Caenorhabditis elegans: one gene and its partner. The protein of the gene in region 2 purifies or fractionates together with the protein of the main gene of each other region. This does not show direct contact. Each region holds a gene or a part of one and is shown on either strand. Other genes may lie near its edges.

Region 1 (16,210 bases), on a different chromosome or scaffold from region 2:
AACTTTCATAAACTTGAAAATTGTAAGTTTTTTTTTTCAAAAATTAGTTTTTTAGAGTTCAATTGAATCCAACCAAAAAATCAAAAAATCGATTTGTTCAATTTTTAAAGAAACAGTTTTTAAATATTCCCATTTTACAGGATACAACCAATATTTGTTTTCTACAAAGTCTCATTCTCGAAATTCTAGATTAAAAAACCTCTTTTTTTTAAATTTCTAGCCAAGCTCAAAATGTTACTAATTTTGACTTTGGCATCAAACGTCAACAAAAAAACATTCTGATCTACCCATTAGACCATATCAATTATTTTTTCAAATTCTGAACTTTTGAGTTTTAGCATCAACTCATGGCTCAATACCCAAAACTTTACTCAATTTTTGCTTCCGCTTCCCCTTCCTGCTTTCAAATTCAACCAAAAAATTGGAACACAAGGTGTCAGTTGCATTAATCCCAGCTCCTTCTTTCCCTTTCAAATATGTCACACATTCAGAGTGTATCTTTGCGTGTCAAGTAAAAAAAGAAGAAGAAAATGAATAATTCTTCTCTTCCACTCCTCAGCCTCTTACCAATGCGTATCTGGGTTGATCATTCTGCTTCACAGTGCCGACGCGCTTCCATCCGAAATGATTCACAAACTTGCACTTGGCCATGTTAGTATTTCGACTGCCAGGTACAACTCGGAAGAAGGTGGTGAACAACTGCAATTGACCATTCATTGTTTCGACCCCGAGAGCAAAAAATGGAAAATGAAAAGAGCTGCAGCTTGAGCAGCCGCCGCTGCATCAAAAATGTCGTCGCCCGAGGGCCAATTTTTCTTTCCCACACCGGAAGACTTTCATGAATTTCTCGCTTTTTTCTTTCTAAATTGGGCCACCACCACTAAAACTAACTTCATGGGAATCAGAGGATGCGAATTTGGCATGTGTCTCCGCATAGGATAATTGCACGATTTGCCAATACTTGAGCGCCATCGCTATTGGCTCGTTCACCTGAAATATGTTTGTAGATTGGCAGGAGTATGTTAGCCTAGAGTGAAGGGCCTAAGAATAAGCCGTAGTTTGTGCCTAAATTTAAGCCTAGACATTAGGCCTAAGCCTAATGGGGCTATTCACGTAATACTGCAAAAAGGAATTCAAATACATTTGTGACGTCACAACTGTTTTAAAAATACATGTTTTAAATACAGTTCTCACGAAATTCTTCTAAACTTTTTGATTTTCCGACACTACTTGAATGACCCCATAAGCCTAAGCCTAGACCTAAGCCTGAGCCTAAGCCTAAGCCTATGCCTAGTTCTTAAGCCTTAGCCTCAGCCTGAGCCTAAGCCTAAGTCTTACCCTAAGCCTGAGCCTAAGCCTACACCTAAGTCTATGCCAAAACATTCGTATTTCTACTGCAGGTGCACTTTATAATTGAATCGAGAGAAAACTTTTCAATTAACTCTTGCTCCTATTTTGAAAAGTCCAAAAAGCTCACTTCAGTGCATTGCCCTCCGAGAATTGCCACGGGTCTTGGTCTCGAAGCGATCAAGTCGAACAGTGCCTTCATTCCCTGTGATGTTTTGCACTGAAAAATTAAAATAATTTGCGCGTGACAGAGAAGTTTGCGCGTAAAATATAGTTGGTTTATCCTAAACTGGGTTACCCGTTTCTGAGAAAAAACTTCAGTGTATACGGTATGCAAATACCGCTTTTTCGGACCATGACCAATACACAAAAGTTGACGCGCAAATTTAAATGAGAAATTTATAAGTTTACATTCTTCTCTGTCTATTCCACTGAGTCAACACGACAATTTTGTCCCAAACATATTGCAATAACTTGTCTTCTTCTTTCTTCCGAGAGCTCTTCTTCTTTCATCTCGAGCTTCTCTGCCTATAACCCATTTAGTTAACGCATTCATGCGTTTAACACGGTGCCTGCTCCATTATTTCAGTCTTCAGTCTTCTTCGGCATACTCTCAAAGTTTGAATTCTGGAGGTAAAGAAAGACGCAAAAAAGTGGAGGCAAAATGTGCGAGCATCTCCCCAAAAAAATTGAGTCAATTGAGCTCCTCCAAGATGCTCCGCGCGCGCGCAAATTGAATTTGTTCAATATTGAAGGGGAGGACTCACATGAGTGTCTTTGACTATCATTTCCAGCCGATATCCTTGAAGAATGCATGATCGACTATGAACATGTGAAAGTGCTGTTCGAATTGCTGGAAGTGCATCCGGAAATCCTTCTTTTTGAACTGTGAACACTCCGAGCGGTAGGGGGATCCCACCGTGGCGACGCTGCAAATGACAGGGATTAGATTTGTTTTATGAAATTAATAATTTCAACTGTTCTGAAATTCTGTTTCTTTTTTTTTCGATAGTGTCTAATGTCAAACATTCAGAAAAATGCAAAAAAACCAAAGATGAAGTTTGAATTGTAAATACCAAAAAATTTTTATAATAGAACTTACAAAAATATTCATAATTTAATTTAAAATTATTCTGAGGAAGTTTTGTTTCAAGAAATCTCTCGCAAACTTACACAAAACTCTTGAAAACCTTCAGAATCAACATAAAACTGTAAACTGTAGCTATCATTGTAGGTAGGTGCATTTTAGGCATACCTGCCTACCTCATGCCTGCCTGCGTGCCTAGGAAGCGACCTACGCATGTCGCCTACATACACACCTACACTAGGCTTAAACACATTCGACATGTATGTAGGCAGACAATAATTAGGCAGGCACGAAGGCAGAAATTTAGGTAGGTAGGCACTAGCCAGGCACCTAGGTGTATTCAGGCACTAGGCAAGTAGGCACGTGTGCCTGACAACGTACCATGTCAGCCTGAGCATAGATCAAAATGTAAATTTCTCCAAAACAAAACATATGACTTTAAAATTTTCAAAAAATTGTTTCCAAAAAATGTATAAAATTTTTTTCGTTGGTTTTCAAATTTTCTTGAAAGGAAATTTTAAAAAATTCCAGAAATTTTTGAAATTTAACAGTTTTCGAATCAAATTTTCAGAGAAATTCGAACAATTTGAACCAATGGGGTTATTCAAGTAATGTAGCAAAATGTATTTAAATACATTTGTGACGTCACAAATGTATTTAAATACATATTTTTATGTACTTGAATACAGTTGTGACGTAATTTTTCTACATTTTTAAATTTTCCGACACTACTTGAATAACCCCATAACTCTATAACTTTTTTGTACTTTTTTGGTAGTAAAAACCCATTTGTTGAAAATTAAAGTCAAATGTGGGTCTCACCACGAAAAGAAGACCTACCTTACAGCTCAACTCCTCTCCAGCTTCATAACCTCCCACTGCTTGAACGGCGAAAAGCAGTAGACTGAGCCACCGGCTCATTGAAACATCATATGCTCACAAAATGGAAAACGACCACAAAAAAATATATGAATATAAATTTTTAGCAAAAATCGGAACACGGGACCCCGAAAAAGAATTGTGGGAGTCTGCGACACACGACAAGGTCCTCCGCGTCAGCTGCTCCTTCGTGTCGCCCCTGAGGGCTCTCTCCATACTATCAAAAAGTGGGTGGAGCCTCCTCTGCGGAGCAAGAGCGGGGCGAAAAAAGAGAAAAACGGAGTGAAAAGAAAAAAGAAACATCTCTTCAGGAGCCGCAGCTACCACCACCGGCAGCAGCAAGAAAAATAATATTAAAACAGGTGCAAAGAGTTCTGTCAAGTTTTTGTCAAATTGCGGGTGCCAGCTGTTGTGTGAGATTATATAAACAATCAGCACTAAGAAAATTGGATTTATTTATTTATATTTTTTTTTGAAAACTTTTAAATCAAATTTCAGATGGAGCACTTTTTAGTTTTTTCAAATGTATCAAACAAGGAAGGGCGGCATCGGCAAACAGCCGGTTTGCCGATTTGCCGAAAATTTTGATTTTCGGAAAATTGCCGGTTTGCCGATTTGCCGAAAATTTTGATTTTCGGAAAATTGCCGGTTTGCCGATTTGCCGAAAATTTTGATTTTCGGAAAATAGCCGGTTTGCCGATTTGCCGAAAATTTTAACTTCCGGCTATGTGCCGATTTGCCGAGAATGTTCATTTCCGGCAATTTGCCGATTTGCCGAAAATTTAGATTTTCGGAAAATTGCCGGTTTGCCGATTTGCCGAAAATTTTCATTCCCGGCAATGTGCCGATTTGCCGGAAATTTTGATTTCCAGAAAATTGCCGGTTTGCCGTTTTGCCGGGAATTTTGATCTCCGGCAATTTTCAGGTTTGCCGAAAATTGTGATCTTCGGAAAATTGCCGGTTTGCCGTTTTGCCGGAAATTTTGATTTTCGGAAAATTGCCGGTTTGCCGATTTGCCGGAAATTTTGATTTCCAGAAAATTGCCGGTTTGCCGTTTTGCCGGGAATTTTGATCTCCGGCAATTTTCAGGTTTGCCGAAAATTGTGATCTTCGGAAAATTGCCGGTTTGCCGTTTTGCCGGAAATTTTGATTTTCGGAAAATTGCCGGTTTGCCGATTTGCCGAAAATTTTAACTTCCGGCTATGTGCCGATTTGCCGAAAATTTTCATTTCCGGCAATGTGCCGATTTGCCGAAAATTTTGATTTTCGGAAAATTGCCGGTTTGCCGATTTGACGAAAATTTTGATTTTCGGAAAATAGCCGGTTTGCCAATTTGCCGAAAATTTTAACTTCCGGCTATGTGCCGATTTGCCGAGAATGTTCATTTCCGGCAATTTGCCGATTTGCCGAAAATTTAGATTTTCGGAAAATTGCCGGTTTGCCGATTTGCCGGAAATTTTGATTTCCAGAAAATTGCCGGTTTGCCGTTTTGCCGGGAATTTTGATCTCCGGCAATTTTCAGGTTTGCCGAAAATTGTGATCTTCGGAAAATTGCCGGTTTGCCGTTTTGCCGGAAATTTTGATTTTCGGAAAATTGCCGGTTTGCCGATTTGCCGAAAATTTTAACTTCCGGCTATGTGCCGATTTGCCGAAAATTTTCGTTTCCGGCAATGTGCCGATTTGCCGGAAATTTTGATTTTCGGAAAATTGCCGGTTTGCCGGTTTGCCGAAAATTTTTATTTCCGGCAATGTGCCGATTTGCCGGAAATTTTGATTTTCGGAAAATTGCCGATTTGCAGAAAACTTTGATCTTCGGAAAATTGCCGGTTTGCCGATTTGCCGAAAATTTTGAATTTCGGAAATTTTCCGATTTGCAGGAAATTTTCATTTCCGAAAAATTGCCGATTTGCTTAAAAATTATTATTGCCATTCAAATTAATATTTTTATCTTCAGAAATTCAATTCGAGAAACCAAAATATTGAAATAAATAAAAGACCCGATATAAAAAGTGACGAGGTACAAAAAAAATGAAAATTTAAAGTCCCAATAAATCAATCTCTGTGCTTTTTTGCCAATGAATCGACAATCACAGTGAAGACGGAATCATGTTGAGCAGTGTCTTGGGCGGTGAGAATCAGGCACACAGCTCCGATAGCGATGTGGGCAAGTGTATAGGATAGGCCAGGTGTTGTAGCGAATAACTGGAAATTTAGAATTATTACAACAGGGCTTCGATTATTTTGTGAATTACCAAATATGTAAAGGAAGTTGCAAGTAGTGAAACTCCCAGGAATATTGATGTCTGACCAGTTGGGAGTACTTCTGTGAAGGATGGACATTTATCGCCGAGATATTCGCGAATGGTACGCCAGCTGAAAATTGGAGTTATATAATAAATATTGAATTGAAGTTTTGAAATAAAACTCACTTATAAATAATCCTAACAGACATGTTAATAATATTCGCCACAATAAATCCTGCAGAATTCATGTACACACAAAGCACATAATTAATAATAAGATGAATGATCGACGTGACAAAAAGGAATTTTCCGTGAGTGAAAATCTGTCGATTATCCATACTTGCCATTGCGAATCCCTCAGTTATTCCATTAATCGCCGTCACAAGAATATAGCCAGAGTACAGAGAAAGTAGAAGTGCTCCTCCATTTTCAGAAAGTAATTTTCCTCCATAAAGTGAAATTACAACTGGTGAATACGGAATTCCGAATGTGCAAGCGACGAATCCAATTACTCCGACTACATGGAGTACTTTGGATAAAGTATCCACCAAATCATCGTGATTATCTGTATTCTTGTTGAAAACGCTGCTTTCTTTACGAATTGTGTTGGAGAAATAGGCATTGCAGTTCTCATCGATTGGTGATAGAATCGTCCGGACGATGATGCTTCCGACTCGTTCAACGGCGTCGTATACAGCTGGAAAATCAAATTTTTAAAAAATTGGGAATACAATGTACTTTTCGTAAAAGCAACCTATTATTAATTTTGTGATTTTTACGGTTCCCCGTCTCGACACGACAATTTTTAAAGAAAATAAAAGAGTACTGTAACTACGAACTTGTGAAAATTATTTAAAAAATCAATGAAAAATCTGCAACAACACACATTTGAAATTACAGTACTCTTCAAAGGCGCACTCACTTTCGCATTTAATAATAAATTGTCGTGTCGAGACCCAATGCGGTATTTTTGACGCAAAATTCTTGGTGATATCGATTTTTTGCTTTTTTACTCAAAAAAGGCAACTAAAAGACTGAATTTTGAAACGCGACTTTAAAAATGGCGGTTTTATTTTAATTTCCTTGTCAGAGCGGCCATAAATCGATTTTTATTGGATTATTGTCTTATTCAGCTCATTTTTGTCGCTTCTCTCCCGTTTTTTTCGTTGATATAATTATATTAACCACCTATCGACTTTAAATATGCCTTAATCAACGGAAATATAGGAGATTTTAGCTAAAATCAGGGTTTTTTTTCCGGAAATTGTGAGCTTCTCGCTATAAAACTCAGTTTCTGTGAGCTCATTTTGGCTATAATTCGGCAAAAATCACCTTGATCCTTCAAGCTAAGAAGCTCAGTGAATGTCATCACATAAGCACTTCCATCGGTCAACAATTGCTTCAAAATCGAGTGAGAAAACATTGTGAATACTGCATGAATCGAATCTCGATCGATTCCTTCGCTGAATTTCGGGAAAAGATCCGAGAACGTTGAGAATTGCTCAAGTTCAGGAATCGACTTGTTCCGGATGTAAATGTAGAAGGCGACAAAATTGAAGAGAAGATACGCGATGGCTCCGATATATTGAGCATAGGCGAACAATTCCAAATGGTACATTCCGGGAAACATGAATAATCCGGCGAGCACGAAAATTCTCTTCACACAGATCAGCATTCCTTGTCCGATTGCAAAGTGTTGGGCGAGAGAACCGCATTTTGATTCTAATCTGAAATTTCACCACATAGTAATTATAGTTTTTAAAAGCCGAAATTTAAAATCTAAAGTTTACCTCAAAGAAATCACAGAAAACGGTTCGGCAATGGATTCAATAATCGCAGAGATCGGAAAAGAGAGAAGAACACTCCATGAAACTTCATCCGAAGTCGACGAGAATGCATACCAAAGATATACACAGACTACGCTAATAACTGTAGAAATAATAGGGCTGAGCCAGAGTAAATTGATGAATTTCGGCAAAGATCCGCGAATTATTTCAGCTTTCCGGAGTGGTTCTCGAGTGAGAAAGAGGATTGACGAGTAGAGAAGGGTTAATCTGCAAAAATTTAATATTTTGTGAAATATTATTTCAATAAAAAATATAAAACAAGCTTTTTTAAGCTTTTAAACATCATTTGAATCTGAAATTAATTAAAATTTGGCGTAAAATTATAGTGAGAAAACCATGCGGCCACCTTGCAAAATTGTGTGCCAGGCTTGCCTTAAAGCCACGCCCACAAAATTTATTAAATATTAAATGAATTAGAATAAATTTCACTTTTTTTCTGTAAAATTAAATTTAAAAAACCGCTCACCTCACATTCACTAATCCTAAAACATCGTTATTGATCCTCCGCAAAAGATACATATTTATAGCGAACGATATTATTCGAGCGATTAGCTAAAAGTTCAAATTTTCTGCTCAAATTAATATTTTAATATATTTTTACCTGCCCCCGTACATTATGAACAAGTGACGAGAATAATGACATGGTTTTTATCGCTTTTTAATCTGAAAATTGAAAAAAACAATTCCCGCAAAATTATCGAATTCAAAGTATTTTGACGATAAAACTATTTTAATAGAGTTTACAAGTAAAATATAGATGATGATAAATTCAAAATATTTATTTAAAATTCTATGAATAAAGGAGGTTCCCTTCCCTGATTATTGGATATTCGTAGTGGGTGCACACGAACACCATTGCGTCGAGAGAGTGGAGGAATAGAGAATTGGAGTGAGCTGTGTGCACTCAAATGTACTGCAGAAGCCATCTGTGAGACTACGACGAAAAGGTTCTTCTGGAAAAATAGCCAATTATCTGATCTGAAATTAATTTTTTTTCCGCACCTGAAATAGAAATGTGTCCGTTTGACCACTTGGAACACAAACCACATAATGGAATGTTTGACCATGTCGCCTGACTACAGGCCCTTGTGATCAAATGTACTCCGATCAACAATTTTCTTTTCAAATTCCAAGTTTTTCAGTTTCAGTTATAACTATAGTTAAAGCTCGCCACAAAGAAAACAACTATATGGCGTGACGTTTTTTTTCTTGTGAGTAGCGTGATAAGAGAATAATTTCTGGGAAAACTTCGAACTGCAACATTCCGAAGCTGTTTCATTCACATAGAACTAACCGAAATAAAAAATTAGAAAATCTGAGGGGGAAATGAAGTGGGACGAGAAGAAAAATGGGGATGTTTGAATGATAGTGATGTGATAAATACGGAATAGATGAGGAAAAGGTTTGAATAAATTTTTGTGGAGAATAGAAAAACAATGAGGACGCCGTGAATTTTTTACAAGTCCGTATAAGTCAAAATTTATAAATAAAATAAAATGGGATTGCGGCTTGCTTTTTTATGCACAAACGTCGAAGGCATGAGAAGTTTAATGATGAGGATCCCAAGGATCCCAAAAGAAAAAACGAAGGAAAATGACAAGTACGTACAACAAATCTATGGGAAATGTTGGCGGCGCAATATGTAAGAGAATGGTGCTTTTTTCGAGAATGGAATAAAAAAGGAGTGAGCAGAAGAAGAAGAGTTCAAGAACTGATCTGTTTACAGGTACTGTCCAAGCCAACGGATTCCTTCTCCGTATCCTTGTCGCTGAAGAACAGAGCACATGAACACTTCCATCGGCCGAGAAGCCATTTCGTTGCGGGAAACGTCTCCTATAAAGATTTTCGTTTTTTAAATAAATTCAAGCGATAATTTCCAATCAAAAACCAACCCTTTCCGGTGCACATATGTTGAATGTTGAGTTGCCACTTGAGCTGATCCTCACTCAATGCTCCTGGCTTGTCAATCTTGTTTCCGAGAATAAGCACTGGAACGGAAGCGATCTGCTCGTCCTGGAGCAGCGATTCGAGCTCAACACGGCTTTCTTGCATTCTTTCGGCGTCGGCCACATCGATCAAGAAGACGACGGCGTCCACGGCAGGGAAGTAATCTTTCCAGACTCGTCGTGCTGGAAAAATGAAGAAAATTAGTTTAAAAAACCGAAAAAACGAGTGAATACCTTGCGCGTGACCACCGAGATCGTATGTGGTAAACGAAATTCCTCCGAGTGACATTTGCTCAGATGCTGAAAAATAATCAATTCAATAATTCTCACAACTAGTTTTTTGCGTCATCATCTTTAGCAATTGACAGATGATAAGCAAAACCGGTCAATCAGCTGTAAAGAAGAGAAAGATATCATTTTTTTAAAGTAAGATTCCTTCCTTTAACAGGCTGAACTACACCGGAATTGCTTTTAAAATCAATAAAAAGCGATAATTACTTGGGTGAAGAGTGGGAACGTGTTGAGCAATACGATCATCTTTAAGCATGTGAAGCAGTGTAGTCTTTCCAGCGTTGTCTAGTCCCAAAAATACCAATTTTCCCTTTTTGTTGGCCAATCCTGTAAATAAAAGGTTTTATGATGGTAAAATTCAGTTTTACAAACCCAGCATGTTGAGCACTCCATTAAACCAGTCCCATAAAAACGACATATTGAATCTGGAAAATTATGCAATTAATTTATTAATTAAATCACTTAAAAATCGGGTAAATCAGGCATTTTTTAGAGAATAAATGAATGAACTGAAATAGATCAAAAGTGGGAACTTTTAGTGGTTAAATGGGGGTGAGAAAAGAGGAAAAGAGAGAAAATAACGAGGCGGAGACATTCTGTGTAGCGTGCTACACAGAGACAAAACGACACGCGCTTCCACGTGTACCCGAAAAGAGAAAAGAGACGCAGTGTGATAATCAAAAAATTCTAATTCTGAAAATCGGCGATTCGGGACCAGGAAAGCTTCATTTAAAGTGAATCCGGAAAGCGCTGACGTGTCCAAAGTGGCAGATGGTCGAGAAGTGCGCCAGCGTCGGGAAATGCGTCAGTAAGGATGAAAGGCGCGCTTTCCGTGCGGAATGGAGAAAATACGCTTAAGCTTTAAATAACAATTAAAGGCATGCAAAATTCGACAAATATCACAAATTTTAAGTAGAGACGAAACATAATGGAAAGACAATTGGCATTTACAATGTAAAACTCCTAAATTTCAACAATAATCGGTGGAAAATTAAATTTTCGTTTAAATAAAAAGTTTAAAGAATAAAACTTACGCGCCAAAACTCCTTTTAATGAAAAATGTTCAGATCACTTCGAAAAATCGATTTTTGAAACTGATTCGAAAAAATTTAAATGTTGAAAAGAGTTTTTATGGCATGGTTTTTTCTCGATAAAAAAGAAAACGTGAAGGAAATGTTTTTCTTTTGAAATTATTCATTGAAATTTGAATTTATAAAATAGTAAAACTTATTCAGCTACATTTGGTCTCGACACGCCAGATAATTTGTTTAATGCCTCAAAAAAAGCGTGCGCCTTTAAATACTACGGTATATTTCTTCGATTTTAAATCCGCTCAATTTTTGAGAAACTGAAAAATGAAATTTTTAATACCATGGGAGAAACTAATACCGCGACCCGAAGGTTTGTCATTTTTGTGGCAAAATACGGTATCCGGTCTCGACACGACAATTTGTTGTTAATTGCAAAAAGGTGTGCGCCTTTAAAGAGTACTGTAGTCTCAAACTTCTGTTGTTGCACAATTTTCATTGTTTCTCATATTTTTCTTAAAAATAGGTGTATCAATTATAAAAAAATATAAAGTAGAGTTTCCTACCGTCCAATGTAGGCTATGCCAACACGCAAAATTCACGTTAGTTTGAAAGTTTTCATTTTCAAAAAAAAAATCAAGTTCATTCATTTATTTTTTTTTTCGAACTTTATTTTAAGCCAGTCGGAGTAGGTCGAGCCGTAGGCTCGAACGACACCGGCTGGTCAATTATAAAAAAAAACACACATAAATATTATTTAGCAAATCGCGAGTAAAACTGCAAAAAATCGATGAAAATTCCGCTGCACCAAAAGTTTCAAACTACAGTACTCCTTTAAAGGAGTACACCTTTCTGTGTTTAACAAAGATAGTCATGTCGAGACCGGGTACCGTATTTTCGCCTCAAAAATTACGATTTTTTCGTTTTTTTTTAACTCAAAAACCTGTAAAAATATTTTTTTGACAGGAAAAATTAAAAATCCGAAAACTACTGTATTTTTAAAGGCACATAACTCATCTCTGCAGTTTCAAACTCATCTCTGCAGTTTCGATTCAGTAATTTTCGGCCGTGTCGAGACCCGGATTCTTGTTTTCCCTGAACAAATAAAAATTAAACTTTCTAAAATCACCATTTTATTTGAAATTAGACAATTTCAGTCAGTGAATTGTTGTCTACTACTCACGAAAATGACATAATAAAATATATATAAGAGAAATAAAATAAGGCAACAGTATATACAGACAAAGGAAAGAACGAGGCAAAAAAAAGACGAGAATTTTGTGATGTTTTGAGCAGATTTGTCGAGGGTGGTTGTTGGCGAACAATCAAAACGAGATCAGAGCAATGGGGCACCTATGGGGGAACTAAAAAGAAATTTAGTGGGTGCGGTATCCACCATCTGGCTTGGCTGGGGCCTCGGTAGCCGAGTATCCTCCACCGACGACGGCTGGCTGCTCTGGCTCGACATGGGTCTCCTCGGCCTCCTGCTCGTCGTAGGATTCCTCCTTGGTCTCAACAGCTGGGGCGGTCTGCTCGTATCCTGGCTTTGACTCCTGAAACAAGGATCTTTAGTTAGGGAAAAGAAATGGAAGAAGACAAAAAAGTGTTAGTTTTCAGAACATACAGTGAAAATTGGTGCTGGTGGAACATAAGGTGCTGGTGCTGGTACAGGTGTCTCCTCAGCGGTCACCTCTTCGAAAGAGGATTCCGTTGGTTGGACTGGTGCGGCGACTGGTGCGTCGGTCTCCTCTTCGTATACCTCTTCTGGAGCCTCAGTTTGTGCTGCTGGAATTGGGTACTCAGTGACTTGTGGTGCAACTGGGGCAGAGGTCTCGACGAAGGTCTCTGGTGCTTGTGGAATAACTTGTGGTTGTGGTGCTGGCTCAACAACGACTTGTGGCTCAACAACTTGTGGCTCGGTGACTTCTGGTGCTGGTTGAACTGGTTGAACTGGTTCAACGTGTGGCTGTGGAACTGGCTCGACAACTTGTGGCTCAACAACTTGTGGCTCAGCTGGCTCAACAACTTCCTCTTCATATTCTTCAGTATTCACCTCAGTAACTGGCTCGACGAATGGAGCAGAAGTGGCAGCTGGGGCTGGGGCTGGCTCCTCGAAGTGGGACTCCTCGACAACGGTGGCTTCTGGGACAGCTGGAGCTGGCTCCTCGACGTGGGTCTCTTCGACAGTGGTGGTTGGGGCAACTGGAGCTGGTTGAACGTTCTCGTATGTTGGGGCTGGGGCTGGGGCAGAGGTGGCGACAGCGACGATCTCGGTCTCTCCGGCGACTCCTCCTTGGGCTCCGTATCCTTCCTCGGCGGTCTCTCCGGTCTGGACAACAGTGTTGGTTTGCTCTCCGACGACTGAAGTGGCTCCGGCTTCCTCTCCGTATCCTCCAGCGGCAGAGGATCCTCCTTGTTGAGAGATGGCTCCCTCGGATGTGGCGGCGGTGGCGTCAACATGAACGGCAGCTGGTCCTTGTCCGTATCCGGCGGCTGGGGCGATAGCTCCGACTTGTTGTTGAGAGGTGTATCCTCCGTTGATAGCGGCTGGTCCTTGGTTGTAAGATCCTCCGGCGCTCACTGGGGCTCCGGCTCCAGCGTATCCTTGGGAAGCGATTTGTCCTCCTTGGACGGCTCCAGCGTATCCTCCTTGGGCTCCTTGGGCGGCTCCGGCGTATCCTCCTTGAGCTCCCTGGGCTCCGGCGTATCCTCCTTGAGCTCCTTGGGCTCCGGCATATCCTCCTTGAGCTCCTTGGGCTCCGGCGTATCCTCCTTGAGCTCCTCCGTGAACTCCGGTATCATATTGTCCTCCGGCTCCGGCTCCTGGGTAGGCGGCTCCTCCACCGAGTCCTCCGAAAGCTGGTGGTGGTGGTGGTGGGGGTGGTGCTCCATATCCGATTGGAGGTCTTGGGTATCCAGCGGCTGGTGCAGCATAGCTAGAAAATATTGAATGCAAAATAATGAAAAAGAGCAGAAGAAAGAACTTACGCAGCAGCAGAAGCTCCACCACATGGGTTAGCGCAAGCTGGTTGAGATGGTTGGCAGCAGCCACCACCTCCTCCACCGAGGCCTCCGATGCATCCGAGAGCTGGGGTAGCGAGAAGTGCGATCAAAAAGAACTGAAACAAGGAGAAAGTGAGTGTGAGAAAGATAATGAGAAATATGAAAGCCAAAGTAATTTAAATGAACTCACACTAGCCATGACGACGACACAATATGTGTTGGAGTGTAAGTGTAGTACCGTAAAATGAAAGATTCGGTGGCAGCTTAAGTAGTGCCCCCACTCCAACCCAACGTCTTGTCACTCCTCCCACCACCTCCTCCTCCGGCTGCGTGAAAGAGAAAGGCGCTGGCGCAACATGCCCAGCCGAGGGCAGATCGCTGCGTAAAACAGTTTTCTGAAATCGAACCCAGACGTGTCTCCGACGATGCAACGATCTATCGCCTCGGAATGTGGTGTACTATTGGGGGTAAGCAGCAACACCCCCCTCCGGCCACATACGGGTGACCAGTGCCACCTTGAACAAGGACCGGTATATTTTTGAAGAGTGACAACACAAAGTGAGAAGATATGGATAGAAAAACCGATAGTGTGTGTAAGTGTGTGGGGATGGCAGATTTTACAGTGAGATTGCCTATTAAGACAATTTTGATTGCAAAAAATGAGCAGATTAGGAAATTGTAAGCTAGATACATTTTCCACTAGAGCTTGTGTTTTAGACATGGAAAGATGGTAGATCTTCAAAGAGAACAGTGTTATTGAGCTTGGCCCAAGAGGTGTGATTTTGAGCCAGTTGAGGACTACGAATCCTTTGCCTGCCTGATCTCTATGTCCAACAAAAAAACGTTTGCTGTCAGGTGTTGGAAATGCATGTACTCTGGACTGAGCTAGAGCTCAGCTGTATGAGGGACTTCCTTCCAATCATGCAATGATCCTCTTTATCGTGATACGGATTTCAGAGACTTGCTGGGTGAAGGTAGAGATGCAAGTATTTCAACGGTGGTACTACATTCCTAGCTCATCCCCTAGTACCATTCTATTCCCGATGTCTTCCAACCTCGAAAGATCCTACTCGGTTTTCGCCGAAGCTGTGCAAGGATCCATCATGTGACTTTACCTGCACCTCCAGGATCTTCAAACTCTTGTATGAATCCAAATTCTGACTTCTGTTTTCTTCATCTTTGCATGCCTATTTCTCAATTATGTAATCCATGCCCATAATGACATATCCCATTTCCTCACATCTTTCCTCCATTCCCGCCCGACTCATTTATCCGATCCAGTCAGTCGGCGCACTCGGTCTTCATGCAAATCACCCAATATGTTTCATTACCGCTCTATGTATCCTAATCTATTGCGTAACCGATTGTTGCGCCAGCGCGCGCCGTTGGTCTGAAGAAGGTTTCGATTGATAAGCGATTCACTTGATTAATTGCCAACCGTCCCGATCAGGCATAAGCTTTTTCGCTTTCATTTCCAATATCTGCTGTGTAATGAGGTGACACGATGGAAAAAATGAGGAAAGGAGGAGGAGGAGGCTGTGGCAAAGGTATAAAGATTCAGAATAGCCCGGGGAGATATATCAGAGCTGATCTGACAGAGGAACATGATCTGTTCCACTTTGTAACTGAACTCTACATCTTGCTATATCTAGCTAGTGCCTGGGCTGCAGACCTTCTCATTTCAGAAGGTGCAATACATCTTACGCTCAAAGTTGACAGCTCCTCACTAAAATATCTATGAAAATTTTATCAATAACCTCTGCTATAATGTTGTCAGTGTGTTGTGTCAGCGAAGACAAATTTCCAATAAAACTTGTTCCCCGACTTCGTTCAGTGTAAGAAGTGTCTAGTCTCCTCTAAACCGAATATTTCTAATACCAACTTGATTACGCATCTCGGAATTTTCATATTCTAAACAAAGGATTAATCATTGTAGAAATGTTGAAGACTTTTTAGATGATATTCTTCAGGTGCAAATGTAAATGTAAATGACCTAGGCTCGCAAGTTTACAAGGCCTCACGGCAAATGTGATATGATGTTGAAATAAGTGATAACACTGAGATACTTTATCAAAAGTAAAGTATACCAGTAGATAGACTACTAGATAAGTACATATTTTTGAAACAAATTGTTCATAATTTCTAAAGCAGCCAACTTACCGGTGATTGAAATTCTGTCGGTCTGATCAAGGTGGCTATTCAACTGATCCCTTTGCTATTTGACCTCCGTCTCAAATGAGGTAGTCGTCATACGACGTTTACTGTGGAGAGAGTAGATACGGCCCGAGAAGTGGGGTCCTGTGCGCAATTTGTCTACCGTATACTTGGACGTTTGGGCGCGTTTTTTTCTCAAAAACGGATGGCCCAACATTTTTGTGATGCATATAAAAAATGTACGAAAATAAATGCTGAATTTGTTGGTCCAAAGCTTAAAACGCGCCCAAACCTGGCTAAACCCAAATTATCAGTAGAGCGCCTTTATATGGATACCACTTTGTACCACGAAATTTTTGACCGGGCAATCTGACAACAACTGATA
Region 2 (17,571 bases):
ATTCTGACTTTCCCAAAACATTCCAGCATCAAAACATGTCCAAATGTAACATTTTGTTGTACAAGTTATAAGATCATGTGATATTTTTGGTTTTGATCAAAACACTTTTTAGACTCTCTGAAACCTTTCTGCAAAGGGTGGAGAAAGCTTATTGCTATTTTGACCCTGGACACGGAAAAACTTTATGCAAATGGTCAGGTGAAGCCCTATTTCCATGAAGCCCGTTCTCATGTGACCTCATACTCCAATTTTCAAACAACACTCTTTTCGTCCATTTTCAGAATTTCGACGCACTCAGATCTTTAATTTATATGTAAAATATTCAGCACTATGAAAATTAGATCTAGATGTTTGGGTGGGAGGATTGTGATGGAAAGGCATAGATTAGACTGGTGTGAGTTATGAGTCAAGTGTCTCAAAGAAAAAGTAAAACACAGGTGAACATCATAGATCAAATGTTGATCCAATCAAACCTTAAATGATTATTATTATTATTGTTTTCTTTTTATGAATCAAAATTATAATTACAAATCTTGAGAGTGAGGAGATATGATACAAATGAAAACATGTTACGCCTTTCTGAATCTTAGGATCAAAAAAATGTTTGGGGATTGAACACATCCATGCTAGACCATTTTAGACATTTATAGAGAATTAAATGGATTTTAAGTTAAATATGTTCAGAGCATTGATAAAGTTTCAAACACTGAAATTGTATGAATAATTTTTATATAACATTCGGAGAGCTTAATTTTTGATGAAGTATCTTCAGTGAAAACCACATGAAAGACTGTCATTGTTAAAATATTAAAATACAAAGGTTAAAATAGATGGGTGACCTTTTTCCTTGGTCTGGTTTGGTTCGCCAGATTGGTAAAGATATATCAAAAACCATCGAAAAAAATTCGAAAAGTACAAAAAAGTTTAAGTAATTCAAACGCAAGAAAATACAAAACCTGGGCAGGTTTCATTTAAGAAAATAATCAAGAACGCGGATTCCTATCGATTAAGTATTGACTCTAGGACACTGAATTTCACAAGGAAATGGCAAATCCGTTCAGCCACAGACAACAAAGAAATAATTCTACTGTTCTCACGCCTTCGTTGATATTTTGTTCTTCACAATGCACTTGGTGAAGTGGTTCAGGAGACTCACGTCAACATCAGAACGTCATGATGTCTTCACATCAGTGGAGGAAGGGATCTATTATAATTAATGCGAAGAATAAATAATCGAACTGGTGGGCCATGAAATGTCTATCTACGTTTGACAAGGATCTTTTATTTAGCTCGTTAACTTAATCGGTAGTGATAGTACTGAGCTTTTTGGCATAGAAAAAGTTTGAAATAAACTAGAAAGTTATTTTCAGTATTGTGCTTCCTATCATGTTGATCTACATATATGTAGTTACAATTTTAGTTTTTAAAAGATTCAAATAATTGATATTTTTAAAAAAGCAAGCAGTATATGTTCTAAACACACTTTTACTATTCCTTTTCAGGACATAGGGCATGTGATTTAGGTGAAAGAGGACGGAAGGATGTGGATGTGCAAGTGTGTCATTAGGTATGGGAAACAAGAAGCAAAACTCAGAACTTGCTCTTCAAGTTTCAGACAAGGACACAAAAGACAAATAAAAGGACACTAGAAAGGTCCTTGTGTCGCGATTCCAATTAGTTTTCTAACTTTTTTTTTGCATACCTAGTTGTGAGAATTACATTGGCGTGTCATGCCGAGAAGGAATATTCTGAATTTGTGTTTTTTTTCGGAATTCGAGAAATTGGGTCTCCAAGTTCTGGGAAAAATTTGTAAAAACTCTAAAAATGTGCTGGTAGTTTGGTTTGTTCGTTTTCTTGGACCGTTTAATACTTCCTTATTTATCAGTTCCTCGAGACAGGTGAGTTCGGAGTAATGATTAGAATTTTGCTGAAAATTGTAGGTCGTACAGCGAAATGTCATCCACCACTTAAAGAAAAGCTGCCCCAAAATTTTTTAACTTGGTATTTAATCGATGACCGGAAAAATTTGAATACAATAAAAGCACTAGACTTTTTGGAATGTAAACTCAAAAGTTTTTAATTTGGCATAAATTTGAAATTTGGTTTTTTGCCAATTCTTGAACGGATTGGCTACTTTGGAGTAAGATAGTTTTCTCATAAATATTTCAATAAATCGGCAAACTAAGCATAATCGGTAGAAAATTTTTTAGTAGTGCTCAAAGTTCGAATCGAATTATGGTGACAAATCTTTTTTGGATAAAATGGCTTTCAACAAAATTATGAGATTTTTATTATATTTGCAAAAGTAACTTGATGGGTTTCCAAAAATGAATTGAAAAATCCAAAAAATCCAATTACCTACAAAATCCGCAAATAAAACAAAACAAAAATACACGCACAAACATGAACTCTGATCAAACCACTTGAGAAACTGTTGTACTTAAAATAGCCAGATAACTTGAAACAAATGAAAAAAAAATGACGATAAAGAAGGTTTTGAATGAAATTTGAAAGATGCCTGGGGGTAATATTGAGCCTATCTCATTTTTATAAGAAAAGCTGAAAGAAACGAGAATGCAGTGCCATTGAAGAAATGAAGAAAATAGTAGAGACATTGAATTAATGTCACTTATTTAGTTGTTTCTTTATTCCAACTTATATTTGGCTGGAATGAAGACACACAGAAAACAATTGGTTTCAGATAGATTTGGTGCTTTCGAGAATGTTTCAATAAATTATTAATCAATGAAACGACGAACAAATGACAGATGAAGAAAAGAAATTGAAAAAATAAAACGATAATGAGAAAACGGACACCACCTGAATTTGTGGGACATAAAAAGATGTGGTAGATCAAATATGTTTCATGTGGTTCGTGGTGTTGTCATCACATTCTCAAGTTACGGAAAATGGGAGGTATCGGTTATAGATCAGATTGAGTAGGCTACGTTTTTTATAAGTGAGCGGAGAAATTCAGAACATTACAAAAAATATATTTTCAATATTCATGTCTTTTTTATTCGTACCATACGAGGTAATCCCGTGATTTTCATTCGGAGGCTGCGAGTTCAACATTCGAACTCAAACTTTTGGATAAGTTTTGGTTCCTTTTGAGAAGTCTTAACAACTTCTAGGGTAACTTTTATCAGTGAAACACTGTGCCAGATTCTTTCAACAGCCTGACAAACTCCCCACGACGCCATTCAACCTTTTATAATTTGATAACAGTTGCCAGTATGATTCCACAGAATACTAGGCAGTCATGGAAAATTTTGTCTGGAACAAGAAAAATGTGGAGGCGACGGTGTCCACAATTTTGCAAAATTCAGGGTGACGTTATGTCGAACTAATTTTGAGAACACATCAATTCAGGATTATAGAGCATCGTGTTTTAATTATAGCTCATGATTTCACAATTTCATATTTTATGTTTCTATGAATATTATTAAACCGGAAGTTGTCTGATATGTTCTCGCTAGCTGAATTATTTTTTTTCAAAGTTACCAAATCTCATAAAATGAACCTGTGTGAACTTGAAAGGGCTTGAAAATTAATTTATGGAACCTTTGAATATATCTATGGCAAACATGTTAAGTATTTCAAACTAATTAAAATTGTATTGCAAGTAAATATTTTCACAACCTTTTTGTTTGTCCAATACAAAAAGTGTCAACTGACAAGAAAATAATTATTTATTTTCTATCGTTGTGTCATATATTATGTAGTGATATAATATTTTTGAAATTGACCAAGATTCAAAGCGAAGTAGTGGGGTGCAATAATATTAGTGAAAATACGGTAGGTTTGATATATTAATTTACTAAATGGTTGATGCAATTTCTATTCAGCAATATTATAAACTATCAACACTTTGAAAAAATTCCAATATTTTGGGAAAAAAAAGAAAATAATTTTCGAATTGGAGTAATTTATATGATATTCCGATTTTTGATCTAGAAAGAAAATTACACAAGGTGCCTATTTTTGAGGGAAAAACATAACAAATGAATTTACAGGAATTTACAGATATTGTTCCTCTAATGCTAATCAATTTTTAAAATTTTTATTATTGGAATCATTTCCAAATGAATTATAAATTAAAATTTCCAAAGTTAGGGTCTATCTGGTCATTGAAAAATAACATGGAGTCATCTGTTCCGATTGAATCGAAAATCATTGTCAAATGTGAATTCCAAATTTAACATAGAGACAATGACATAAATGGCACAAAAATAAAAACAATTGCTATTTATACGTGGGTTCATCTCACGGTATGTGACATAGCTCATTTGCTTTCACACGATTCATTCGTTTGCCACCAAAGATGAAAACAGACGAACACACATGCAAAAATTGGTATTCTTTGAGAGCCAATTTCTGAGGATCCTTTTCAAATTATTCCAATCTATCCCACAAATTTCCCACGTTTTCTATTTTAACAAGAAAGAATAAATAGGAAAAAAGAAAGGTTTTGCTTTTCCTTTCTTTTGTGAAATCTATTTTTGATGTCATAAATATGATTGGCTTGCGAAGTTAGTTGATCGAAGAAGATGTGACCGGAGAAATTTGAAATGCGGAAGAAGATGATTAAGAATAAAAGCAGACATCACAAAAAGACAAATTAGAGTTCTTGAAAGATATAATACATGGTTTTGCCAGAGAATAATTTGATATAATTTACGTAAAACAATTAGAAGTGAAAACGGGCATTGAATGTTCTTTGGATAGAAATCTGAAAGTGACGTTAAGAGTTTCGTGGATATTGGATGTTTTACGAGATGAAAAATACTTCCTTTATTCGCATGCAATGCAAAACATTTTACAAAAAAACTAGCTCGTAGATTGAAAACTCTGAGAGTGACGAAGTTGATCTATATTGACGACCGAGAAAAAAAAATGTTTGCAGCAGTGTGCCGTACAGGGAAAACTAACAATAATGATAATTTAACTTTTGAAGCGAAACTTTTTCGCGGGTAAAATCTTGCGCCAGGGTTTTCCCTACCGTCTATCTGCATTTTGAAATAATCTCCAGTTTTTGGGTACTTGCTTTGCCAGTGTAAACCAAAACATAAACTAACAAGATCCTACAAATTTTAAGAATTTCTCATTTCCTCATATCAATAAACTTGCTAAAAGCTCAATGGTAAAACTGCAAAAAACGTGTTCTTCAGAAGTAGGCTCGGATGTAGGCATAAGGTAGGCGAGGGTCGCCTTGTAAGGTAGTCGAGGCGGTTTTCTCATTTGTGTCAGACATACGGGCGGATTTGAGCATAATATCAAATTAGTGAAAAAAAATTTTAATGTTATAAAATTTCGTCCGATATGGTTAGGAGATAACTCTTGCAAAAACGTTAATTTAGTTCATCCTGAGTCAACGGCACTGAAATATCATTTAAAGATGAAATTACTAGAATTTGCCTGTAATTGATTGCATCTCTTGTTGATTGAATGAATGAGTTGTTTGAAAAAACAAAGCAAACATTGAAAATATCCCTCGACATTTTCTGAGAAGACACTGGAATTTTTTTAAATGTTTTACTGGAAAAGAGTTAATTTATCCTTAGAACTTTTTTTATTCCGACCTGACAATATAATCTAGAGCTTGTTCAGCCATTTGCTCCAAAAAATATATACGCAAAATTAAGTATGTTTGAAACTTATAGTTTATCTATTATCTATGACTATGATTCTCATAGAAATGTGATTTCTGTTCTTGGATTTTCTAGAGGAAATGATTTTTGTGATGTACGAAGAAATATATTGCCACGCAAGCAAAAATTGTTTCGTGATGATTTATGTCAAACAAAAACCCCGAATACAAACATGTCTTTCAAAATTATGGTTTATTTTATGAGGTTTCCGATAAGTTGGTAAAATGTTAAACCAAATGACGAATACTCATTTTTACAGAACATTCTAGAATTATAGATTTTTGAGAAATAATTGAAATTAACTGGATTCATTTCGGTAAGCTACCGAACAATTAAAAAAATATATACATAGTTATAATTTATAAATCTATGTACTACTGTATTGTTTTTCAAAATTTCGGGTCTAGGTGTATAGGTGTAACCATATCAAAATTATTGTTCTGAATTACCTGCCACTAATAAACTACAAAACTGCAATAACGGTGTGTTATCGAGAGGAACAACAAGAGAATCTCTAAATATATATTTATCGCATCCTTTTGTTCTGCAGCTCCAAAGCGAAAAATGGGAACACGCCTCTTGCTTATTAGCCCAATCGTGTACACAATAATACCAGCGATGAAATTGTGTCAAAAACCAAACAATATACTATTTCCTAGTTCTTTGGCGAGTCTTTTTTGTAGAGCTCATTTCCAATAATTTTTCATCTCAGTTCACGTGAGCACGAGAAGCAATAAAGGTGTCGCCAAGTTTGAAATGAATTATTCATTGCCAAGACATGTATCGGATTTTGAAGGACACATAAACTTTATTCCGAAAAACAAAATCACAGAAAAAATGCTACAATGCAAGAGATGAAATAGGGTTACACGATGTGAATTTTATTGAATATGTGCCAACGGAACCCGTAGATGAATCCTTCGCCTTTTGCGAGAACCGGTAATTTGTGATATTCGCATATGAGATGATCACCAGAGTGAAAGTCTAGAGAACGGGTGATTCCATCGATTGATGAACGGGGCTGAAATAATTATAACAACTTTAAAATGAAGTAATGAAAAAAATATTTAGAGTACTTTTAATATTTAGAGTATTACGATATTCTAATTCCGTTACCAAAATTTTGACTGAAAATTGAAGTTAACTTGCATTACTCTAATGTTTACTCTATTTCACTAGAGTTTGGCATTCCTTCTAAAGGTACACGGATTAATCCATATGGGTCTCGGCACGCAAAAAAGTTTATGGTAGCTTTTTTCGGCTTTGTGTGGCTGTTTTTTATATTTTCTTTGAATTCCAACGAAATTACTTAGTTTTTAACAAATTTTGTCGTTTTATTTTCGTTTTCCTGATAAAACTTTTAAATCAGTTCTCAAAGTGCAAATTTCAAAAAAAAAAGATAATTATAAACCTTTTTGCGCGCCAATAAAACTCGGAGAATTTTTTTTTTAATTTTAGATTTCATGCGCAATATATTTGACGCGCAAAATATCTCGTAGCGAAAACTACATCATTTTATTTTACTTTATTTTCTATCTTCCGGTGTAGCTCTTTCTTGTGACAAATAAACAATATTACTACAGTAATTCGTAAATGACTACTGTACCGCTTTTGTCGATCTACCAGCTCGATTTTTGGAATTAATTGTTTTTGGAATAGTGTTTTCGTTTTTTATATTATTTTCTAATGCTTTGCTTGATTTTTATATTCTATCGATAAATAAATTATTTTAATTAATTTCGATAATCGAGCCCGTAAATCGACACAAGCGCTACTGCAGTCATATAAAACATTACTGTAGTTTTCGCTACGAGATATTTTGTGCGTCAAATATTTTGCGTAATACGCAACTTTTTGTTCCTGTAATGTTTCTATTTTATAGAAAATCAAAACATACACTTTCTCCACTAATTGTTCTCAGTTCTTGTACACTTTGTAATTCGTTTGAATACTCATTGTCTTCATCATCTTTCCGTTGAGATTTTTCTAATTTCTCTTCACTTTTGATAGAACTTGCAAATTCCCCTTTGGCTTGGTTTTTGTATCGAAACTGCAATTTTTGAAATCTCATTTTAATTCTATGTTTTTTTCTAATCACTTACACAAGCCGCTTCCAACTGTTCAACTCGTTTTTGTGATTCTTTCAACGCCTCATCTAATTGTCTAATTCTCTCACTATTTTCATTATCTTTTCTATCATTTTCTTCAACAACATCTAATAATCGATTTTCGAGACTTTCCGTCCGTATTTTTATTCTTTCATAATCTTCATTAAGATGATCGTACTTCGTTTTCCAATATCTTACATTTGAATCTTCTTCCTCCTCATTTCCCATTGGAAACTGAAACAATAAGGCATTTTTTAAACTCGAAACCTTCAATTTCTAGTGAAGTATGCGGTCGCAGCAAATAAGCCATCCTTAAATCAAAGAATTGAGGAACTTACATTTTTCAGACTTCATTTAAACAGGAATTGAAATTTCAGAAAGCGATTTGAATAGTAAATATTTAAATATTGCTGGAATTTGAAAATACAGTTACGCAGTTAGAAAAACTGGGTGGTGCGAAAGAATATTGGTCAAAATAGAATTCTACATCTGCTTTTTTTTACAACACAACGCAATTATGGAAATGGGGGATGGAAATGAGAGAGATATTTAAATGAGAATAAATAAGATTAGGAAGTACATGAATCGGAAAAATTGGAAAAAAGATATTTATCGCAAATCGTCCTCATCTTCACCTTCAATGGTACGCTTTACCTTGAGAAGCAGAGAAGTCGACCAGTTATCGAGTCTGAAAGAAAAATATTGATAAGAATGTAGTCACATGACCTTTTCAAAGCATGTTTATGGCATGATACCAACAATGAGAAAACTATTGAAAAAAAGTGAAAAGAAAATTAGCATTATCCTAATAGTGATTTTTTTCATATTCCTGGAATTCGAATCTAAAGACATCATGAATGGAAAATTACTGGCAAAATGGTGTATATATTTATTTTGAAGGTTTTTTTTTTTAATATTACAGAACAAAAATCAGACTGGTAATTAATTCAATTGGCTAAAAAATACTAGCTCTTAAATTTGAATTCTCGAGTTGCACGACAATTCAAATCAGCTACTTTTGACTTTTTCCAGCTCACTAATTTAACAATCAATTTTTGTTTCAGTTTTGTGATAAAAGTATACAGAGACATATGATGCAGTTACAAACTAATTTCAAACTTGGCATTTCTAACGAATTTTTTTTTCAAATTTGGATGATTTTTTAAATATTGAAAAGTGATTCGACAAAACACGATACCTGCTAATCTTGTCAAAGTTTGCCACACATTCGGTAAAAGTTTCTTCTTTCTTTTCATCAATAGCTGCCAATAGTTCCTTTACAAATTTACATTCCCTCGAATCTGTGAACGATGGAGACGCGTTTTCGTACTTTTGAAGTGCTTGTTGTGTGTTGATCTTAAAAATAAAACGATTTCAGTGTTAATGCAGATGGGAGCTTACTGGATCAATGCACAAATGACATAAAAGAGCTTGGAAGAAGTGTCCTTTAGCAGCATACTTGAGGGTTGAATGATCGGCTTCGAAGAATGCAATCTCTTCGAATACAGCAATAGCTTGAGAATACTTTTCCAATTCGGCAGAATACATGGCTACTTTGACAAGGCACTTGCTGGCACTACTTTTCTGTTCTTCTCCTTTATAATAGTCGGCGGCTTGTTGGTAGTGCTTCACACATTGCTCTTTGTCCGGAAGCTCAGTTTCGTAGAGTTCAGCAATGCTTACATGATTTTTTGCGGCCATTGTGAAGCGACCCATGTCAGTGTAGATTTCCGAAGTTTTTTCAAGACATTGAACAGCACGCTGAAAAATCAAGATTCTTAAATTACGAACAAGTCTCGAAATCTCGAACCTCTGGTTGAATCTTGCGGAAACAATTCGCAGCTTCAGCATACTGAGTGGCGCAGTCGTGCTTGGAGTCCCCATTTTTAGCGTAGAATTCAGCGGCTTCCAGGAATGCGTCACCAGCGGCTTGCCAATTTTTTGCCATTTTGAACAAATTTCCTCCCTAAAATATTACAAAACATCATAAATATTAAAAAAAAAACTGAAATATTTAGTAGTTTTATTGCGACCTGTTTAATTTTAATGGCTTTAAAATATTTTATTCATATTCCGTGCGTTTCGGGGGCGAGATTCATTTTTCGAGCTGCTTTTTTTACTCTTCGTTTCGTTTTCATTTCTAATCCATGTTGCATTTCACCAGACCATCCGGTATCTTCACCTTCCAGCAAGCTCATTTTGTTCATTGCACCATTTAAGATTGATGTGACTCCATTGTCTTCTGCCTTCCGCCGACGAGACGATTCACCATGGATGAAGTGAATAATCCGTGAATGCTCATCACGTGTTCGGTTATTAGAAAATCGAATTTCGCATGTTGGATGAAGACAACGAAAATGATTAATTCCAGGCTCACGAGAAACTTGAATTTCGAAAAATGGATTATGTCGCTCGTCATGATGAACCTCCAAACGATGAGCAGTATCGAAACCAATTCCACATTCGAAACATTGGAGCGAGTGCTGTGAATAGTGATTCTCATAATCAAGAAGATTTGAAGCAATGTAATCACATCCATTATGACTACATTCTATTTCACAAAACGAATGTTCATCAATAAAATCTTCATCATCCACTTCATCCATGTTGTCATCTTCCTGGTCGAGCCTATTGTTGGCAAAAGTATTTCGCAACTCATTTTGCCCAGTTACAGTTTCTTGATTTTCAGAAGAAGTATTCACCTGAATAAAGAGATCTGCAGCTTCGGCATTTGAACCGCCACCTCCAAACATTCTGTTTAAGAAACCGCCGCCTCCCTGCAAAAATAATATTATATTCATTGCCATTACATTGTTTTTACTCTATTAGCTTTGCATCCCATTGCTCAAATTTAACATAATTTTTTTCTTTTGTAGTTATTGATTTACGAATATCTTCAAAATCAATATATCCAACGCGGAGCCATTAGGTGCAATACTAATAGAGTAAGTACGATAATCGCAAATTTAAAAAAATAAATTCTTACCGACAATTTTTTCCGTCCTTCTGCCATTTTTTGGCGTGCTTTTGCTTCATTGTCGGACATTTTCTGAAAATTTTCGAGATTTACGCACAAAAGTGCACTAAAAATACGCGGAAACGAAGAAAAGTCGAAGAAGAAACGAAAATTCCAAAAAGTGAGGAAAAGCAGAGAACTTATTGAGTGCGCAGTGAGCAAGAAAAAACGAAGAATCGATGTGGACCAGTGGTCCCAGACGCCGTCGCCTCGTTTTCTTGTTATCGCACGATCACGTTTCGTTGTAACTGAAGAGGGAGAGAGAAAAGACACGGCCACGGCCATTTTTAAAAGCAGAGAGGAGGAGAGATGTCATATGAGCATGAGAATTAGAGAAAAAGAACAACGGACAAATATTTATTACGAGACGTCATGAATAAATGTATTTCGTAATTCAGGAGTTTCGGGGCATTGATGGATTAAATTAATACGCGGAGAAACATGTTATACGTTGTTTCTAAATGTAAAAAACTCAAAATGTTGTCGCAACAATTAAATTTATAGCAGAACGAATAGTCCAGCACGGAAAATTCAAAATAATGAAAATAGAATGGCTCATGTGTACATGATTTGGTGATAAGATGAGTTTCAAATAGGAATAAATGGAAAAATTTAATTAAAACTAGTAGATTAGCATTTAATGAGAGTTTAAAATACTTTTCTAATGTGTTGACGGAAATAAAATAATTATTGAAAAACCAAAAAAGCGCGCGCACCTTGCGAAAATCGCGTGCCAGAGTTGCGTGTGGAATTACGAGGCCCCGCCCTCTTCATAAAAAATTTTTAAACTAGAAATTTTAATAATTATTTAAATGATCACTTTTTTAGGCTTCATGCAGCTTGTTTTGGTTTTGAGAGTAACTTTTTTTCAGAACAGCATTTCCGGTATTGATTTCCATCTGTAAATTTTGTTTGAAAAGAATAATATGCGGTTTTAAGTTCAAAATTGTTTGTTTATCAACCACACGCTCATAATATTTTATTTTGTTTTTAACCTAAAAAGCGCATATATTTAAGATTAATTCTAAAAATAAAATAAAAACATGTTTCCTTAATTTAAAATGAAGAAAGTTGTTTATCGCTCTCTTCTTCGATTTATTAAGAAGAATTCCTCCCATCGTTTGGTGTTTGAAATATCGCAGTAGTACATTGGGGCGCATTTACCCGATTTTCGGTCAATAACAATAGAACCCTCCTCCGAATCTTCCGCATATAATGACACATTTCTGACCTTCATTTGTAATACTCGTTCAGTATCCAAACGCCTAATATCATATTAACGATCGATAATTTGTAGAAAATGGATTTGTATGACGATGATGGAGAATCTGCTCAATCCGAAAAAGTAGATGTTCCATCTGAAGAATCAACAATAGCAGGTCCCGAAACTGATATTCCAGCGGAAACCATAGAAGAAAATGTGCCAGAAGTCGAAGAAAATACATTATTAGAAGAAGATTCACTTGTAGATGTGGATTCTCCACGCCCATCTCAACAACGGGTTGGTGTCATTTATAAAAAATTAATTTTTAAATAATGTTTTTTTTTCTAGTCAAAACCAAGCAAATCCAAAAGAAAACGAAAAAGAAGTTCTTCGGGAGAAAGCTCAGCCGCAGAACCTGAAATTGATGCTGGCGCAAAAGGTTTGAACGTACATTTTGACTTATATATTCAGCGAAATTCAGTGAAAGGCCCACTATCAAACACGAATAAGGAAATCAACGTAGGAACAGAGTTTCAAGCGAAAATCGCGGATCTTAATTTAAATGATAAAGCATGTAATGAGGATAGAGATGATCAAGATGAACTAATATGGAATACTCCGGAAACTATTGATGATGAAAAGTTAGAAGCTTTCATCAGAGAATCATCTGATCGATATCTTATTCCTATTGATAGAGTTAGTTTTTAAAAAAAGTTATATGGGAATCTCATTTGATGTTTTTTCAGGCTCTGTATATCCTAACAATAAATAACTTCAATTTTGACTCGGCCATAGCAGAAGTTGCACGACGTAATGAACTGAAAGATGTGTGGACAGATCAGGAAATTACTCTTTTTGAGAATTGTTACCAGATTTTCGGCAAAAATTTTTCACAAATTAGATCAGCGGTTAGTTATTTTTTTTGTTGTTAAGCCTGCAACCTCAATTTTTTTTTATTTTCAGCTCTGTCATCGATCTCTTCAGTCAATTGTTCAGTTTTATTACGAATCAAAAAAACGTGTAAAATATCTAAACTTTGTCAATTCGAAATGTGATGATAGTAGTAGTTCGGAAGAAACTGAAACTCCATCTCCATATCCTGAAGCTATTTTCGAGTCAATGTGTGACAACTGTGGAGAAAAAGCTGAAAATATGCAGGTTTGTGTTTTAATAATCAAATTTATGTTTTTAGTATCGAATAATCTTCAGTTTTCTGTTCAAAACTATTCCAAAGCAGTAGAGGCAATTTCATGAATTTGTCTATTGCACCGGGGTTTTCCCACATTTTTTAAATTAAAAATTTGAGCTAAAATTTAAAAATTCACAAGATTTATCTGAAAATACCAGTTTTTTTTCAGCTTTTTTTGGCGATACTTATTCATTCTGCACAAATACAAAATTCCAATGCAACTGGAAATAAAAAATAATTTATAAAATCGGTTTGAATGGGAATATTTTATTTACGTTTCTAACAATCTAAATAAATATTTTACAGATCAATAACGCGATGAATCGTCCAGAATGCCGTGCTTGTTTAATTTATTTCAACCAAACGGGAGTACCTCGTCCAACAAGTCTTCGTCTGGTATTAGCTGAACGTATCCGAAATCAAGTTTCATGTCCTGATAGTTAGTGATCAAATTCTTGTGACTTCTATTAAAACGCACCAAATTTCAGATATGAAGGAATACATGAAGGATTTTGACAAGCTATCCGCACAGGCGACCGGAAGCACTTTCCAGAAAAGAATAATCGTAAAAGATCAGTGTGTGGAATATATAATTGATGGTTTTTTATAGACTTCTCTCAATTTTCTCATTTAGATATTTACAGTTGACAAAATTCCATCTTCATCATGTACAGAAAATGGCAATGTAGGAGAGACATCGAGCCCATCTGCACAGAAAACTGAGATACAAAGCGAGTCTGATGGTTCTGGGCCTCTCATCTGGAGGCATAAAAAGACAGTTTGTATGGAAGAGATTGAGTAAGTTTGTTTATGATAATTGTATTATTCTTATTAACCAGTCTACTTTTCAGAGTTCTGGCTGATGATTCTCGTCGTAAAATGTTTGAAGCTTGTCAGCATGGGAGTAAAGTGGACATTAAATTAGTTGCATCGTGGAAAAATGATATGACAAATCTGAGAAAGCGAGTTGAGCAAACCTACTACGATCCTGATCTCAATCCCACATACCTTTTCTCTCATGATCGAGTGCATTACTCTCAAGATTGGACACAGCTGGAAAGATCACAAGTTATCAGATGTAAGCTGCCCCTCATGCGTCCTATAATTCAATTGCATACTTATAGGTTTCAACATGTATGGAGCTCATTTCGAACACATCGCTGATGTTATCGGAACAAAAACTCCTGACCAAGTCTACCAATTTTACTTGGAAAATCAAAAAGCGATTGACGCTGTAAGTTTTTAATTGACTGATAAGTAACATATTACCATATTCATTACATTTTAGGCCGATGAAGAGTTCCTAGCAGACATGAAAAATCCAGAAAGGCTGGCTGATATGGAAGAAGAAGAAGATTCAATTTAGGTTTTTGTTGAATATACAGTCAACTTATCAAAACTGTGTTTCGCATTGTCAATATATCATTTTTCCCAGTTCCTGGTTTCTGAATTGTCTTTCTTATTCAATATGTTATTCACTTAAGTAGTATCATGTGTCATAAATAATTTAACAATTAACTTAATTGACCACTTTCTGGTCATCTGAAAATTAAAAACAACCTTTAATTCTTAAAATAAAATAAATTACAATTTCAGTCCGATTTTTTAATTAACAAATAATATAAATACATCTTTTATTCATCCATCTTAGAATCCTCTTCCATTGTCCTGTACACCAACTTCGTACGTGACAATATCTGAAATTGAATTTTCTACATGTTATCATTTAATAGAACTCACATTTTCCAGAAGTTCACCTCGGAGCGGAACATTATCTTCGATATTCTCGGATAGGTTTTCTGGTGTCCATTTGTCGTCGGAGTTTATAAATTCTCTGAAATTCGATCTGTTTTTCCGAATTACAAAAGTCGATGCTTACTTCAAAAGTCCAGAAGATTCTGCAATTGCCTCCTGGGGTTGATCATCAGAATACACCAAAATTGGATGTTGGTTTATGGATACAATCTAGAACACGTAATAGTTGTATTGTGTAATAAAATATTTCAAATAAAAAAGAAACTTACTTTATCTGGACGAACAACAATTCTAATTTTCTCATCAGTCTCCGGAGATGTGTACTTTAAAACATTCAACTTGAAATCCACAACAGAACTGAAATTATATTTTTGTTAAAATTCCTAAAAAGAGAGCTCACTCTATCTTAGAAGCAATTGTAGTACCTTCCTTTGCACCATCTCCAACTTCCAGGCGATCATTGAGCGCCAAAAATGCAGTCCATTTTGAGAAATATTTGCTTCGGTGTTGGCAATCCTGATAATAAATATTTTAATTTACAGTTTTCCCATTACATTGCCAGCTGAATTGGATGCCTACGTATACCTACGTACCTAGGTATCTTATGCCTACCTACTGCCTAATTTCTCTTTTTTTGTAGTCTGGTTTTTTAAGGTTTACTAATTGTAGATTTGATATTTTCTCATTCAAATTGAATTATTGATATTTCAGTTAGGAAATGACCCGATTCATATGTAGTTTGCCAGTAGGCACGAGGTACGCTTTTAGGCAGGCATTCTTGGGACTGCATGCACTAAAGCTTAACACGAAAGTCTAAAAATCCTGTTTAGCTTGTCAAACAATTCAAAGACTACTAGACTTACATTTGCTTCAATTTGTTCTGTCGATTCACTTCCAACTTTCACAAGTTTAACATCTCCAGTTTTTGTATAATCCTCCAGTAACATAGTCTGATATTTACTCATATTTTTATAATACACATTAAAGAAAGTGGCTCCTTGTAGTTTGTAGTATTCAATGAATCTTGCCACTTCAAGAATGTTCACATTTTCATCATTCAGAGGAACGCAAACTGTCAAAAAGTGCTCTGGTCGCTGTCGTTTAACGATTTGAACAGGATATTGACCTATGGTGTCAAGTGTTTCACTTATTGAAATATATTTTGCTCCGGCTCTTCTAGGACAGTACACTGTAGATTCAGGATACACAAATGAAGGCTTTGGGTCACCCATTCCTTTCTTATAGCAATCGTGATAACGACAGTACACAGTTTCACTGAAATTTATTTTTTTGAAATTCCAAAAACTTTATGATACAGTCAGTACCTGGAAAAGTTTTTAGCCGAAAGTGTTACAGCAATTGAGTCCTTGTAAGCAAACGCTGAAATTATTCTGGGTTTATGCTGAATATTTTCAGTTTCATCCTCAGAATCCATATCTAAAAGTAATTTTTTGTGAACTGATTGATTTGGAACTTCAACTGTAGTTACGTCGTTCCACTCTTCAACTTTACACCTGAAATAATAAAAACTACCAATTAATTGTGTCTCTCTTACTCACTTTCTGTAGCTTTTCTTTTCTTCCTTCGCATTATACGATGAGCTAGTCGTTTGGGTAGTTTGGTTTTCCGTGGTATCATCAACATTTTGCCTCTCAGTTGTCTCCACAGTAGTAGTCTCTTCTGTCACCTTTTTCGTTCCTTCTCCAATTTCTTCATTTTCATTGTGATCTTCGTTGAGTACTCGGAATGTTGATTCTTTCTCATTTCCATCTACCTGCTTCTCTTCATCATTATTGCTTTTCAGTTGTTCTTCAATAGTTGTTGTATCTACAGAACTTTCAGAAGTTACTTCAGGACTCTTAGTTGAACTGTCACCATTCTTTTCTTCAGTTTCGGATTTTTCTACAAGTTCTGCTCCGTTTGTTTTTTTCTCTGTGGTAGTTGCAGATTCGTCAGACGTAGTCGTTGTTTCTGATTCACCTTCTTTCTCAACGTGATCGCTGTCTTGAGAAGCTTGGATGCTTTCCGCTTCCTTGCTTGGAGCTTCATCAGCAACTTTATTTTCAGTCGTAGTTGTTTCTTCATTATTTGATACAGTGGTACCTGATTCTGATTCATCTTTTGGATCATCATTTCCTTCCCGATCTTCCATCGAAAGTTCAGTTGTCGTAGTGACAGCATCGCCTGATTTATTTTCTTCTGCATCCTCTGAGTTTCCGTGATTCTCATGCTCTTCCTCAACTTTTTTCTCTTCTTCCACAGCTTCGTCCTCTTCTTGAGCTGGACCAGATGGTACTACTGCACTATCAAAAATTGGAGAGCTGGTATCGTTACTTGGGATTTTTTCGATACCGTTGGATTCTATAGTTTCTGCTGATCCTGCATTATCGTCAGAAACTTTATCAGGTTTCGGTTCATTTGCCGTTTGATCAGCTGAAGTTTCAGAAGATCCCGGATTTTCAGAACCAGCATTTTTAGATTCAGTGTTGGAAGAATTGGAATTGACGACTTCTTTTTGCTGATCAGAATATTGTTGCTTATCTGTAAAAATCACTATCTAAAACTCTAAATTGAATATTCACACATGAGTTTTTCAATATTGTTTTCTATCAAAAATAAAGGGAAAACGTTATAAATAAACGAATAAT

Evidence for each region.
Region 1: the proteins of snap-1 (region 2) and sar-1 fractionate together in Caenorhabditis elegans (co-fractionation; one large-scale study listed by BioGRID). This does not show direct contact.

What each region holds. Positions count from the first base shown.
Region 1 is NC_003282.8:4,503,255-4,519,464, forward strand, and holds sar-1 (Small COPII coat GTPase SAR1), read right to left. Parts: upstream 10,066-16,210; 5' UTR 10,059-10,065; coding exon 10,013-10,058; intron 9,968-10,012; coding exon 9,848-9,967; intron 9,650-9,847; coding exon 9,584-9,649; intron 9,533-9,583; coding exon 9,296-9,532; intron 9,237-9,295; coding exon 9,124-9,236; 3' UTR 8,639-9,123; downstream 1-8,638. Other genes in the region: gbb-2 (Gamma-aminobutyric acid type B receptor subunit 2), read right to left, coding at 568-699, 892-990, 1,478-1,567, 2,115-2,276, 3,275-3,355; rfth-1 (Man(5)GlcNAc(2)-PP-dolichol translocation protein RFT1), read right to left, coding at 5,366-5,515, 5,566-5,686, 5,743-6,253, 6,889-7,283, 7,347-7,610, 7,870-7,955, 8,005-8,046; ZK180.8 (uncharacterized protein), read right to left, coding at 8,186-8,329; ZK180.5 (Prion-like-(Q/N-rich)-domain-bearing protein), read right to left, coding at 12,045-12,221, 12,293-13,604, 13,657-13,787, 13,862-13,870. UniProt on the Caenorhabditis elegans protein: Small GTPase that cycles between an active GTP-bound and an inactive GDP-bound state and mainly functions in vesicle-mediated endoplasmic reticulum (ER) to Golgi transport.
Region 2 is NC_003283.11:8,123,854-8,141,424, reverse strand, and holds snap-1 (Alpha-soluble NSF attachment protein), read right to left. Parts: upstream 10,809-17,571; 5' UTR 10,806-10,808; coding exon 10,746-10,805; intron 10,537-10,745; coding exon 10,462-10,536; coding exon of another isoform or gene 9,826-10,461; exon of another isoform or gene 9,726-9,825; coding exon 9,570-9,725; intron 9,521-9,569; coding exon 9,161-9,520; intron 9,116-9,160; coding exon 8,958-9,115; intron 8,448-8,957; coding exon 8,369-8,447; 3' UTR 8,096-8,368; downstream 1-8,095. Other genes in the region: D1014.4 (t-SNARE coiled-coil homology domain-containing protein), read right to left, coding at 6,517-6,672, 7,549-7,701, 7,754-7,987; REST corepressor spr-1, read left to right, coding at 12,076-12,276, 12,328-12,418, 12,461-12,675, 12,726-12,887, 12,943-13,137, 13,475-13,607, 13,657-13,767, 13,813-13,966 and 3 more; gtnt-16 (Glycosyltransferase family 92 protein), read right to left, coding at 14,803-14,865, 14,909-15,002, 15,048-15,133, 15,193-15,280, 15,324-15,439, 15,787-16,198, 16,249-16,437, 16,483-17,464.